Saccharomyces cerevisiae S288C: one gene and its partners. The protein of the gene in region 1 interacts with the protein of each later gene in a pairwise test. Each region holds a gene or a part of one and is shown in the gene's direction. Other genes may lie near its edges.

Evidence for each region.
Region 2: the proteins of HXT8 (region 1) and YHR140W interact in a protein complementation assay, tested with the Saccharomyces cerevisiae proteins (one large-scale study listed by BioGRID).
Region 3: the proteins of HXT8 (region 1) and SGE1 interact in a protein complementation assay, tested with the Saccharomyces cerevisiae proteins (one large-scale study listed by BioGRID).

What each region holds. Positions count from the first base shown.
Region 1 is NC_001142.9:24,995-29,185, forward strand, and holds HXT8 (hexose transporter HXT8), read left to right. Parts: upstream 1-1,892; coding exon 1,893-3,602; downstream 3,603-4,191. Other genes in the region: oligo-1,6-glucosidase IMA5, read right to left, coding at 1-1,092. UniProt on the Saccharomyces cerevisiae protein: Probable glucose transporter.
Region 2 is NC_001140.6:378,680-381,888, forward strand, and holds YHR140W (uncharacterized protein), read left to right. Parts: upstream 1-1,892; coding exon 1,893-2,612; downstream 2,613-3,209. Other genes in the region: SPS100 (Sps100p), read right to left, coding at 1-520; YHR139C-A (uncharacterized protein), read right to left, coding at 1,429-1,740.
Region 3 is NC_001148.4:931,982-936,244, forward strand, and holds SGE1 (Sge1p), read left to right. Parts: upstream 1-2,052; coding exon 2,053-3,684; downstream 3,685-4,263. Other genes in the region: YPR196W (putative maltose-responsive transcription factor), read left to right, coding at 1-807. UniProt on the Saccharomyces cerevisiae protein: Drug export permease. Multi-copy suppressor of loss-of-function mutation of GAL11. Involved specifically in transcription of GAL4-dependent genes. Can link GAL4 with the basal transcription machinery if GAL11 is missing.

The sequences.
Region 1 (4,191 bases):
CTCACGCCATTTAGGAGAATCTGAGCCAAAACGCGAAACGCTACGAGGTTGATCATGATTCTCCAAATAGATGGTCGACCAGCAATCTGTGTTTTCGATAAACAGAAAGCTTTCAGCAAGAGCCAGCTTAAAGTCTTTTAAAGTAAAGGGAATAAGTTCGTACTTGCATTTTGGGTTTTCACCTACTGAGGTGTGCTTGAAGTTGAACATCATATTTAGTTCTCCTTCTTTGGCACTGGTATAAACTCTGAAGTCGTCTTCATTCCCGATACCAACTTCTCCAACAGTCATGATTTCTTTACCCTCTGGAACTTGCGAGAGCATGTAGTTATGCATTTCTTTATGATACTCATGGATACGTGGCCCATTTATGAAAAATTCAGTTCCTTTTTGGTAAGGAACTGTAGGATCAGTGATAGGAGCATCGGGTAGGCCCTCAACCTTAGAATACATGCTGCCTACGTCAATACGAAAGCCATCAACGTTGTGACGTAGCCAATAGCCCACTGAGGAGTCATAAATGGCTTTACGGCACTCTTCATTTTCCCAATTGAAATCAGGTTGGCCAAGAGCAAACACATGCAGAAAGAACTCACCAGTTTTTTCGTCATATCTCCAAGCAGATCCACCAAAGAAAGATCTCCAATTGTTGGGAGGAATTGGATTACCTTTCTCATCGTAACCCTTTGGAGGTCTCCAGAAAAACCAGTCACGCTTTGGATTAGCCTTAGAAGATCTACTCTCCTTGAACCATTCATGCTCTTCAGAACAGTGGTTGATAACCAGGTCAACAATAACCTTGATACCTCTCTTATGAGCTTCTTCTATCATTTGGAAACAATCCTCATTGGTACCGTAACGTGGCCAAACCTTCTCATAGTTGGCAATATCGTAACCCATATCTTCTTGAGGAGAGTCATAAAATGGGCACACCCATATCGCATCGACACCTAATTCTTTGACATAGTCAAGTTTGGAGGTAATCCCAGCTAAATCACCCCATCCGTCATTGTTGGAGTCCTTGAAACTAGCAGGATAAATTTGGTAGACGGTGGCTTCTTTCCACCATTTAGGATTATGGATGATCGTCATGTTTTTCTTTTCAATATTGAGCACTTTCTATATAGTCATCAAGAAACAGTAGTTTTTCGCACCAAGATATGTGAACAAGTGTCCTAATTTATAATTCGTCAGACGTTTATGAACTTACTCCTCAAAACCGTATCAATTACCGTAGCGGTAATGGAAGATACAATTCTTAAGTGTGAATTACTTTTTCCGGTGAATTAGCTTCTAGGATTGTGACTATTTCAATGGACAATGTTGCAAATAGTTTCAAATATTCCCGTGTTTCTCCGAGGATTCTCCACGGAGGAAAAATAATGCAAAGTTTATTTCCCCGTTTTCTTTTCTCCGTCTAGGCATTTACGCTTTCACGCAACTTTATTATATCACCTCCGCGGGGATTCAACAACGAGGTATGTGGAGAAGGAGAGAAATTCCAGAGAAAGCAGCCTAGAGCATCCTGCTGCAGCAACTTATAAACGTATCTCACAGAAAAGGCCGGAGAAAGTTCTTGAAATGTGTAATTTAGCCTACCTGCCAAGCGGCTGGAATTATCCCGAGAATAATTCCGCGACCGGGCCTGTTCCTGAACTCTAAGAAGTTTTGGAATTTCCGAACGCTTCTTCGCATGAAAGACATGAACTCTTAAGTAAAATAATATGAACTGGCATGGTCGTAATCTTTTGGACGACGGAATATCATCGCTAACCATTGTAAGGGATGAAGCTTGACTAGATATATTTAAACGACCATTTTTGTTTCATTCTTATTTTAGATTGCATTTTTTATAAGTCACTTTTAGTTAGCTCAGAACGCCAGCAAAAACCATGACTGATCGTAAAACCAACTTGCCAGAAGAACCGATTTTCGAAGAGGCAGAAGATGATGGCTGCCCTTCGATAGAAAATTCTTCACATCTGTCAGTACCTACAGTGGAGGAAAACAAGGACTTTTCCGAGTATAATGGGGAAGAGGCAGAGGAAGTTGTTGTTCCAGAAAAGCCTGCTTCAGCCTATGCTACTGTTTCTATCATGTGTTTATGTATGGCTTTCGGTGGATTTATGTCCGGTTGGGACACAGGTACGATTTCTGGTTTCGTCAATCAGACTGATTTTTTAAGAAGATTTGGTAATTATAGCCATTCCAAGAACACTTACTACTTATCTAATGTGAGAACTGGGTTGATTGTGTCCATCTTCAATGTGGGAAGCGCCATTGGCTGTCTTTTCTTGTCTAAATTGGGTGATATTTACGGCCGCTGCATGGGTTTGATTATAGTTATTGTCGTTTATATGGTTGGTATTGTCATTCAAATTGCCTCTATAGATAAGTGGTATCAGTATTTTATTGGAAGAATTATCGCTGGTATAGGTGCTGGTTCCATTAGTGTTCTTGCCCCGATGCTTATTTCGGAAACTGCGCCAAAGCATATCAGAGGTACGTTGCTAGCTTGTTGGCAATTGATGGTGACTTTCGCAATTTTCTTGGGTTATTGTACCAATTATGGTACCAAGACTTACTCGAATTCTGTCCAGTGGCGTGTTCCGCTTGGTCTATGTTTTGCATGGGCTATTATTATGATTGGTGGTATGACGTTTGTTCCGGAATCTCCTCGGTTTTTGGTGCAAGTCGGTAAGATTGAGCAAGCTAAAGCTTCTTTTGCCAAGTCGAACAAGCTTAGTGTTGACGATCCTGCTGTGGTTGCAGAGATTGATCTTCTTGTTGCTGGTGTGGAGGCAGAAGAAGCAATGGGAACTGCTTCATGGAAGGAATTATTTTCGAGAAAGACTAAAGTTTTTCAACGTTTAACGATGACAGTCATGATTAACTCTCTGCAGCAACTAACCGGTGACAACTATTTCTTCTACTACGGTACTACTATCTTCAAATCTGTCGGTATGAATGACTCTTTTGAGACTTCAATTGTCTTGGGTATTGTGAATTTTGCTTCTTGCTTCTTTTCACTTTATTCTGTTGATAAGTTGGGCCGTCGTAGATGTCTTTTACTTGGAGCAGCCACCATGACGGCGTGCATGGTTATTTACGCCTCCGTTGGCGTCACAAGACTATATCCGAACGGTAAAAGTGAACCATCATCTAAAGGTGCTGGTAATTGTACGATTGTTTTCACGTGTTTTTACATTTTCTGCTTTTCCTGCACCTGGGGACCTGTATGTTATGTGATTATTTCTGAAACATTTCCATTAAGGGTGAGATCCAAGTGTATGTCCGTTGCAACAGCGGCCAACTTATTGTGGGGGTTCCTAATCGGGTTTTTCACTCCTTTTATTACTTCGGCAATTAATTTCTACTACGGTTACGTTTTCATGGGTTGCTTAGCGTTTTCATATTTTTACGTCTTTTTCTTTGTTCCAGAAACAAAAGGTCTAACTTTAGAAGAAGTTGATGAGATGTGGATGGACGGTGTATTACCTTGGAAATCTGAATCCTGGGTACCAGCTTCTAGAAGGGATGGTGATTATGATAACGAAAAATTACAGCATGACGAGAAACCCTTCTACAAAAGAATGTTTTAGACCGGTGAAAACACACGCAAGCAAACTTCAAAGTACATTGATAAATAATGTCCAATGCCCTCTGTAATATAGGGGCTTTTTAATTCCTAAGACTGATTCGATATATTAAACACCAGGGCTACTGAAGACTGACAGTCACGTTGAGTCCTATTATATCATTTTACTCACAGAAGATTTGGTAATATGATACTTAGATGGGCTTAACAACAAAGTGTTTTCTTGATGTTACTGCCCATGAAAAAAAGCAAATCAAATTAGTAGGCGGATTGTTAACTTTGTTTATTTTGAAACCCGTCAGGACTACCAAAATATAACAAAGTATTGATTATCGTCAACGCTTTATAGATCACTTTTTTTTTTTTTTGAGGAACCGATTAATTAATACATCGTAGCCTCTGCTTATTGCATAACACAACAAAAAAATACAATAATACGCAACTTTTGTTTATAGAAAAATAAAAATGGAACATATGATATTCTCTGTTCGTCATATGATAACTTAAGCACTTTCGTGTGTACATAGGTATTCTAGTGCATTGGAATGAGATCAATTATGATTTCCTAACCCAGAATTTATATTACTAATGAT
Region 2 (3,209 bases), on another chromosome or scaffold:
CACAGGCATCAAAGAACCATTGAACATTCTTCTGACCAGACAAAACGCCCACAGGAACAGTGTAAGGAGGGAAAACACCAGAATACACAACTTTATCTCTACCGGCAACCAAAGTGCCTCTACCTTCCGCGTCCGAACTACTCAATATTGGTACACCCCATAAGAAATTCTCAGTAATGACAATGGTCTTTGATGTATTAAAAACGATTGAGCAGAAGAAACTCAAAGTTTCAATGGAACGCCAGTTTGTGACGATTATAATGCCGGAAGACGATTCGCTTTGTAAAGTCTGATTAACTTGAGTAGCAATTTGGTAAAGTTGAGTGATGTTTAAGGTGGAAGTAGAGTTGAATAGCGTTGTGGTAGTAACGTTTGACTGGCTACCAGATACAGCAGGTCCACCCGTGATGATCACGGGGACCGTACCGCCGCCAGAAGTAACGTTCTGCCTCTTGTAAAGTGGTGTTGCAGAAGCTGTTAAAGTTGCAAGAAAAAATGCTAGCACTGATGTGAATTTCATAATAGCTGATTGGGTTCTTAGATGTGAAAACTGATCGAAATCAAATACTAGAGCATGATTGATAGGAACAAGAGAAACCAAAAGTGTTTTTAGCTTTCCTCCCAATTTTTATAGTATTCTAATGAGTAACGTCTTAGGGGAATTTTCAACAAGGCATTTCTAAAAGGGGATGCTAGTTGCACATTCTGAGAGAATCATTTGTACACGTTTTTCCCTATTTTCTGCTCATAAACCGAGGATCATCAGCGTTAAATGTAATTGCTAAGCCAAGAACTTTTGCTACTCTAACATTACATATTTGAAGGGTACAGTGAGATTCCCCAACAGGAATTCGCTTCTGTACATCAGCCGGTATTCGCTGAGAACTACTGTAGCCCTTAACTGTTGAATGATCTTTTTCTGGTAGATCATCGGCTTCTTTTGACGCAGGAAAAGGCCCGTGTCACTTCGGCTTAGCTTCTTTCGGCGATTTTCAAGGGAAGCGTCTGCACCTTAACGCAGACAAATGACGCATGATATGCACCCTTAAGGCGGACTTGATCTTCAGATCCCTCAAATGGTAAATGTGCCATAAGGTGGCCAAATTCCAACTAAAAATGATAAATAGGTAATGAATTGTTCACTATGCAGCGTTGCCACCGTTACGCCTCCCCCTTATTTTTCATTTCCGTTTCCATCCAGTTTTTCAGCCTCCTTGAACCCTACCATTAGTAATGGAAGCAATAATCTCATAGCAGCAATTGAAAAAAAAAAAGCATATTCGCTCACATTAAAATAATGAGATAACATGAGATGGCTTGGAATTATAAGCGTTCGCTGACCTGAAAAAGGCGCGGGGCTAATGGACCCATTCGTTAAAATGACCTTAAGCATCCACACATGCAGAATAAAAGAACTTAACCTATTCCTTAGGAAAGTTTATGTATTTGCTGGTACCCTCTTCCTTCTTTGGCCTCTTTTCTGACGTGAATGTCACATGTTAACATTTTTGTCAAATAGCGTCCATCTATTTGAACAAATGCTATCATTTTTGGGGATACAAATTCTATAAGAGGTTCCTGTTTGCAGCATCTAAAAACAGAGCGTGAAACGCATGCAGAAGTGACATATAATCCTTTGTTTAAGCGACAATTAAAAATAATGATCGCTCTCTTTTCCTTTTCAGACTTGCTCATTAAATTTGACAAGATCCGCGGATTAGAGAAGTCTGCGCTTCGCATTTAATGAAAAGATCTCCGATAAGTATATAAGTCCCTTTTTTCTCGAATTATATAAGTCACTTTCTATATGTCAGTGATTATCTCTACACTAGTCTTGCTGTATTCTTAGCAAATTTTTCTCGTATTTTAAAACCATAATACAAGGAGAATCCATGATGTCTTGTCTGGTACCAACACGTTTTACTTTGACCCTTAACACCGCGTGTCTTTTGACGAGCACCTGGGGGTTTGTTAGGGCCACATCTGTAGTCTTACCTCCAAGTTTAAGTAAAGCAGGCCATAAACAGTTTCTAACCATTATATCTATTATTGCAACAATCATTAATAACGCGGTTAACATTTCTAATTATTATATCCAAAGAAACAATAAGATGAATCTAGAAACCAAGAAAAAATCAGACTTTATTAGTAGACATGTCACTTTGCCAGTTTCTTTAGTATTAGAATCTATTGTTGCTACCGTTTATTGGCCGCTTAGATTGTTTTTTGTCAACTTAATAATGCATGGAGTTGAATCTACTGCAAAGACACCTTTTCCTATGACAGTGGATATGGCAATCCACTTATATCCTATTTTATATTTACTAGCCGATCACTACTTATCGGGATCTGGCACGAAATTCAAATTATCGAATAAGCATGCATGGCTCATTGTAACCAGTTTAGCATTTTCATATTTTCAATATTTAGCATTCCTGATAGATGCGGGGCAAGGCCAAGCCTATCCATACCCGTTTCTAGACGTGAACGAGCCGTACAAGTCGATTATATTTGTTGTTGTTGCTACTATTACGTGGGCTTATTATGTATTTTATCAAAAGTTTCCGCCAAAATACATCAAGAAGTCGGCAAAGAAAGGTGATAAGAATTAGCATTACTACTAGTATACTACTATTTAAGCTCTTTGTATGTAAAGTGAGCAAATCTCAAATTTTGCTACTTAATTCTTATTTTCGTGCTAGCCCTACAACGGAACCCAAAAAATCAATCACCAGGGTAAGCGGGAAAAAAAAAAAGTGTAGGAACCGCACTATAAAAAGTCGAAGGTTTGTATTAATTTTCCACACCTCTTTAGTTTTGTTATAATCAAATTCCTTTTGGTTTTTGTTTTAAAAAGGCCAACATCATAATTATATCGCGAATGTACTACTAGTATATGCAGTTTTCTTAAAATTGCAGGGAATGACTAAAAGCCCACGTTTTTCCCACTTTTAGTAGTACTGAAGCGTAGATAGATTGAACGTTGCTGGGCGCCTGGTGTTGATCATTTCTGAAATGAGATATTGGGAATCAGCTGTATCTACATTTTATTTATACATATTTATTTTTACTGGTTCTTAGTAACGTACTTTAGTAGCAATGCTGTGTTTTAGTGCGAACGCCTACGTGTCTTGTTAACTTATCATGGTTGCCAACGCGAACGTTTACAACAGGTTCAAAGGCAGGATGAAAAATTACGCCAAATAGGC
Region 3 (4,263 bases), on another chromosome or scaffold:
ATAAAAATAGCTGGATTTCATCGGGAAGAAACTTATGAGTTTCTTCCATTTGGTGAGCAACAACTTATAAGAAAGGTTTACTATCTGCTTCTCATGACAGAGAGGTACTATGCCGTATACATTAAATGTGTAACAAGTTTGGATACCACTATATCTCCACCACAACCCGAAATCGTAACTGATTCCCGACTTTCTTTGGATAGTTTTCTTGAGGTGATTAAAGTATTCACTGTTCCTGGGAAATACTTTTACGATGCCTTAGCTACCAACAGTGTTAATGGTTCCTATACTGAAGACTCTCTAAAAAGGATATGGAATGAACTTCACATAAGCTCACTTGATATAGAGCCATACTCTTACGGATACATAGACTATCTCTTTTCTCGGCACTGGGTCAGGACTCTAGCATGGAAGTTGGTACTAAATAAGAAGGATATGCGGATGAATTTTTTTTCGAATACTAACGCCACACACATTCCAGTCGAAATAGCCAAGGATATGTTACAGGATACACTTTTAACTCCAATCGACCTATATGATGTGCATGGTCCTGTGATACCAATGAAGGCGCTAGAAATAGCCAATGCATTGGTAGACGTCGTAAGTAAGTATGATCACAATATGAAGTTGGAGGCTTGGAATATTTTGTGCGATGTATCTAAGTTCGTTTTCTCCCTGAAACATTGCAATCATAAAATGTTTCAAAGGTTTTCAACTAAATGTCAGAGTGCTCTAATCGATTTGCCTATCTCTAGACCACTGCGCCTAAATGATGATTCCAAGGATGAAGTCGACATTATTCCCTAAATGAACTTTATCTTCTTACAGTTTCAACATCTTGTGACCTGATGATTTTCCTCAAATGAACTTTTGCGTTTTCATTGAGAAAATTTCATTATACTTTATTTTTTTTATAAATGGGTACCAAGGCATTAAATATAGATCTGGTTTACTAATCTGAAGAAATTGTTTTCAACCACATAATTTGTGCAATTTGGCGCTATACAAAGCCCATGTTGGCTACATTAGTCTTTGAATCCTTTAGATTGCCTGAATCAATAGCTCATTCAAAATATTTTGGACAATCGATAGTTAACTGTAACATGTGCTGCTATATAGTGGCAATCTAGATGCATGTATCTTATATGATTAAGTATAAAAGAACCACAGCAAAGCTAAACGTAAATAAGTAGTTTAGAAAGTACTGGATATGAGTTAAGAATCTGTTAATTGAGCATGACATGAAAATTTTGTATTAAAGCAATATGAGTCGTCACATTAAATATATGAAACTACGGGAATTACCATCATATTGGTCATGATTAATAATAAACCAATCAGCATGTTTTTACCTCTATTATATTAGTCTTGGACCCGTATTCAACCTTCATTAATATTATCTTTTTACCTTTGTTCATAAACACAATACATTGTTTTTGCAAAATATAACAAAAAAGATTAAGGAAGAGGACCATGTACACTACGATCTTACTTTTGAAATAGAATTTGTTTATTTTTTCAAGATGTTAAACGAAGATGGTGAGTAATATTCACAAAACATTGTAAAAATATTACTTGCTTCATTCTGCGAATTGTTCAAACCCGTAAAGAAAATTTCTAGTATATGATATATGCATAATATCAATAGCTTTACAAAAATAGAATCCGAAAACTATCTAGAAGTTTACTCGTTTCTCAAGTTTTATTTAACAAAACATAGACGAGCTTTATTTCGTGTGAAGAAGTGAAGAAGCTTTAACAAAACTGTATTTCTAAAAGAACGTTACTATACAATAAATTATAAAACTGCATTAACCAATGAAAAAAAGCACTATTAATCGAAACTCGAATATGCAATATTGTTAATGTAAATTAAGCTATCGGTCCGTTTATTTTTCTATCGAAAAGCGGCTTAGTTAGAATGGTTGATAAACGGCTGCGCTTCGTAAAAAGAAATGACATCTTGGAACTACTTTAAATAGAAGTTTAAATCTCATGATCATGCTCATCTGTTTGTACAACACATAAGCTTCACCGTCAGACATATATGCAATGAAGAGTACTTTGAGTTTAACTTTATGTGTTATATCGCTTCTATTAACCCTTTTTCTGGCGGCCTTGGATATTGTTATAGTGGTTACTTTATATGATACAATTGGCATTAAGTTCCATGACTTCGGCAATATTGGTTGGTTAGTTACTGGATATGCTCTTTCTAATGCTGTTTTCATGTTATTATGGGGTCGCTTGGCCGAAATACTTGGTACAAAGGAGTGCTTAATGATTTCTGTTATTGTATTTGAAATAGGGTCTTTGATTTCTGCTCTTTCGAATTCAATGGCGACTCTGATTAGCGGAAGAGTCGTTGCTGGGTTTGGAGGAAGTGGAATTGAATCACTTGCTTTTGTAGTTGGAACATCCATTGTCCGAGAAAACCATAGAGGAATTATGATAACGGCACTCGCTATATCGTATGTCATTGCAGAGGGAGTCGGGCCTTTTATTGGTGGTGCATTTAATGAACATTTGTCTTGGAGATGGTGCTTTTATATAAATCTTCCAATCGGTGCGTTTGCGTTCATAATATTGGCATTTTGTAACACATCTGGAGAACCACATCAAAAAATGTGGCTACCATCAAAAATCAAAAAAATTATGAACTATGACTATGGCGAATTATTGAAAGCAAGTTTTTGGAAGAATACATTTGAAGTACTTGTATTTAAACTAGACATGGTTGGGATTATTTTATCTTCAGCAGGCTTTACACTACTGATGTTAGGTCTTTCATTTGGTGGAAACAACTTCCCATGGAATTCGGGTATCATTATTTGCTTTTTTACCGTGGGCCCTATCTTATTGTTACTATTTTGTGCTTACGACTTTCATTTTCTGTCATTATCGGGGCTTCACTATGACAACAAGCGGATCAAACCGTTACTGACATGGAATATTGCCTCAAATTGTGGCATATTTACAAGCTCCATAACAGGATTCCTTTCTTGCTTTGCTTATGAATTACAGTCTGCTTATTTAGTCCAGCTTTATCAACTAGTATTTAAAAAAAAGCCTACATTAGCGAGTATACATCTTTGGGAACTATCAATTCCAGCTATGATTGCAACTATGGCCATAGCATATCTAAATTCAAAATATGGCATCATCAAACCGGCAATTGTTTTTGGTGTGCTTTGTGGGATTGTTGGATCTGGTTTATTTACGCTAATCAATGGCGAACTCTCTCAGTCAATAGGTTATTCAATTCTCCCAGGAATAGCTTTTGGTAGTATTTTCCAAGCAACGTTATTAAGCTCCCAGGTGCAGATAACATCAGACGATCCAGACTTTCAAAACAAGTTTATTGAAGTCACAGCTTTCAACTCGTTCGCCAAATCCTTGGGCTTTGCGTTTGGAGGGAATATGGGGGCAATGATATTCACTGCATCACTCAAAAACCAGATGCGCTCTTCCCAATTAAACATACCACAATTTACGTCTGTAGAAACACTTTTAGCGTATAGCACAGAACATTATGATGGCCCCCAATCTTCACTATCAAAGTTCATAAACACAGCTATCCATGACGTTTTTTACTGCGCCTTAGGATGCTATGCTCTTTCATTCTTCTTTGGAATATTCACTTCGAGTAAGAAAACAACAATATCAGCCAAAAAGCAACAATGAACAATTTTCCAACGTATAAATTAACTTATCGTAGTTCGATAAAACTAGACAGTACTTATATATTATCTAACATCAGATGGTTTGTCTTTCATTATTTATTTAGTGATTAATGCTAGCTTTAAGCAAGCTTAGTTGCCTCAAGAAAGATTAATATTAAGCTACTGAGGATATAGCATTCGAATATAAAGATATAATCAAAGCTCATAATTACAAAATACCCTGTGATTAGGATATCATTATTACTAACAACACCGTTCCTAAACTAGCAGAAAGTTGACCAACTGTATAAAAATTAAATTTGTTCGTAAATACATATACATAAAATCCGCATTAAATGTGGACTTTCAGTTGAGCAAGTGTTAATGAATATCGTAGGATAGCAAATGAAGATTCGAATTTGATGAGGTCTCTTGTTCCGAGAACTATTGTTTAAGCCAAACCAGATTCAGTGTCTGTACTAAACAGTTGTCACAGAAAGGTGGTAGCTTTACTTTCCGTACATTAAATACAGAAAAATTACCACTTCTGTTGAAAATACTGTTTTGTGGGTTGGGATAATATAATCGTATATAATATCAA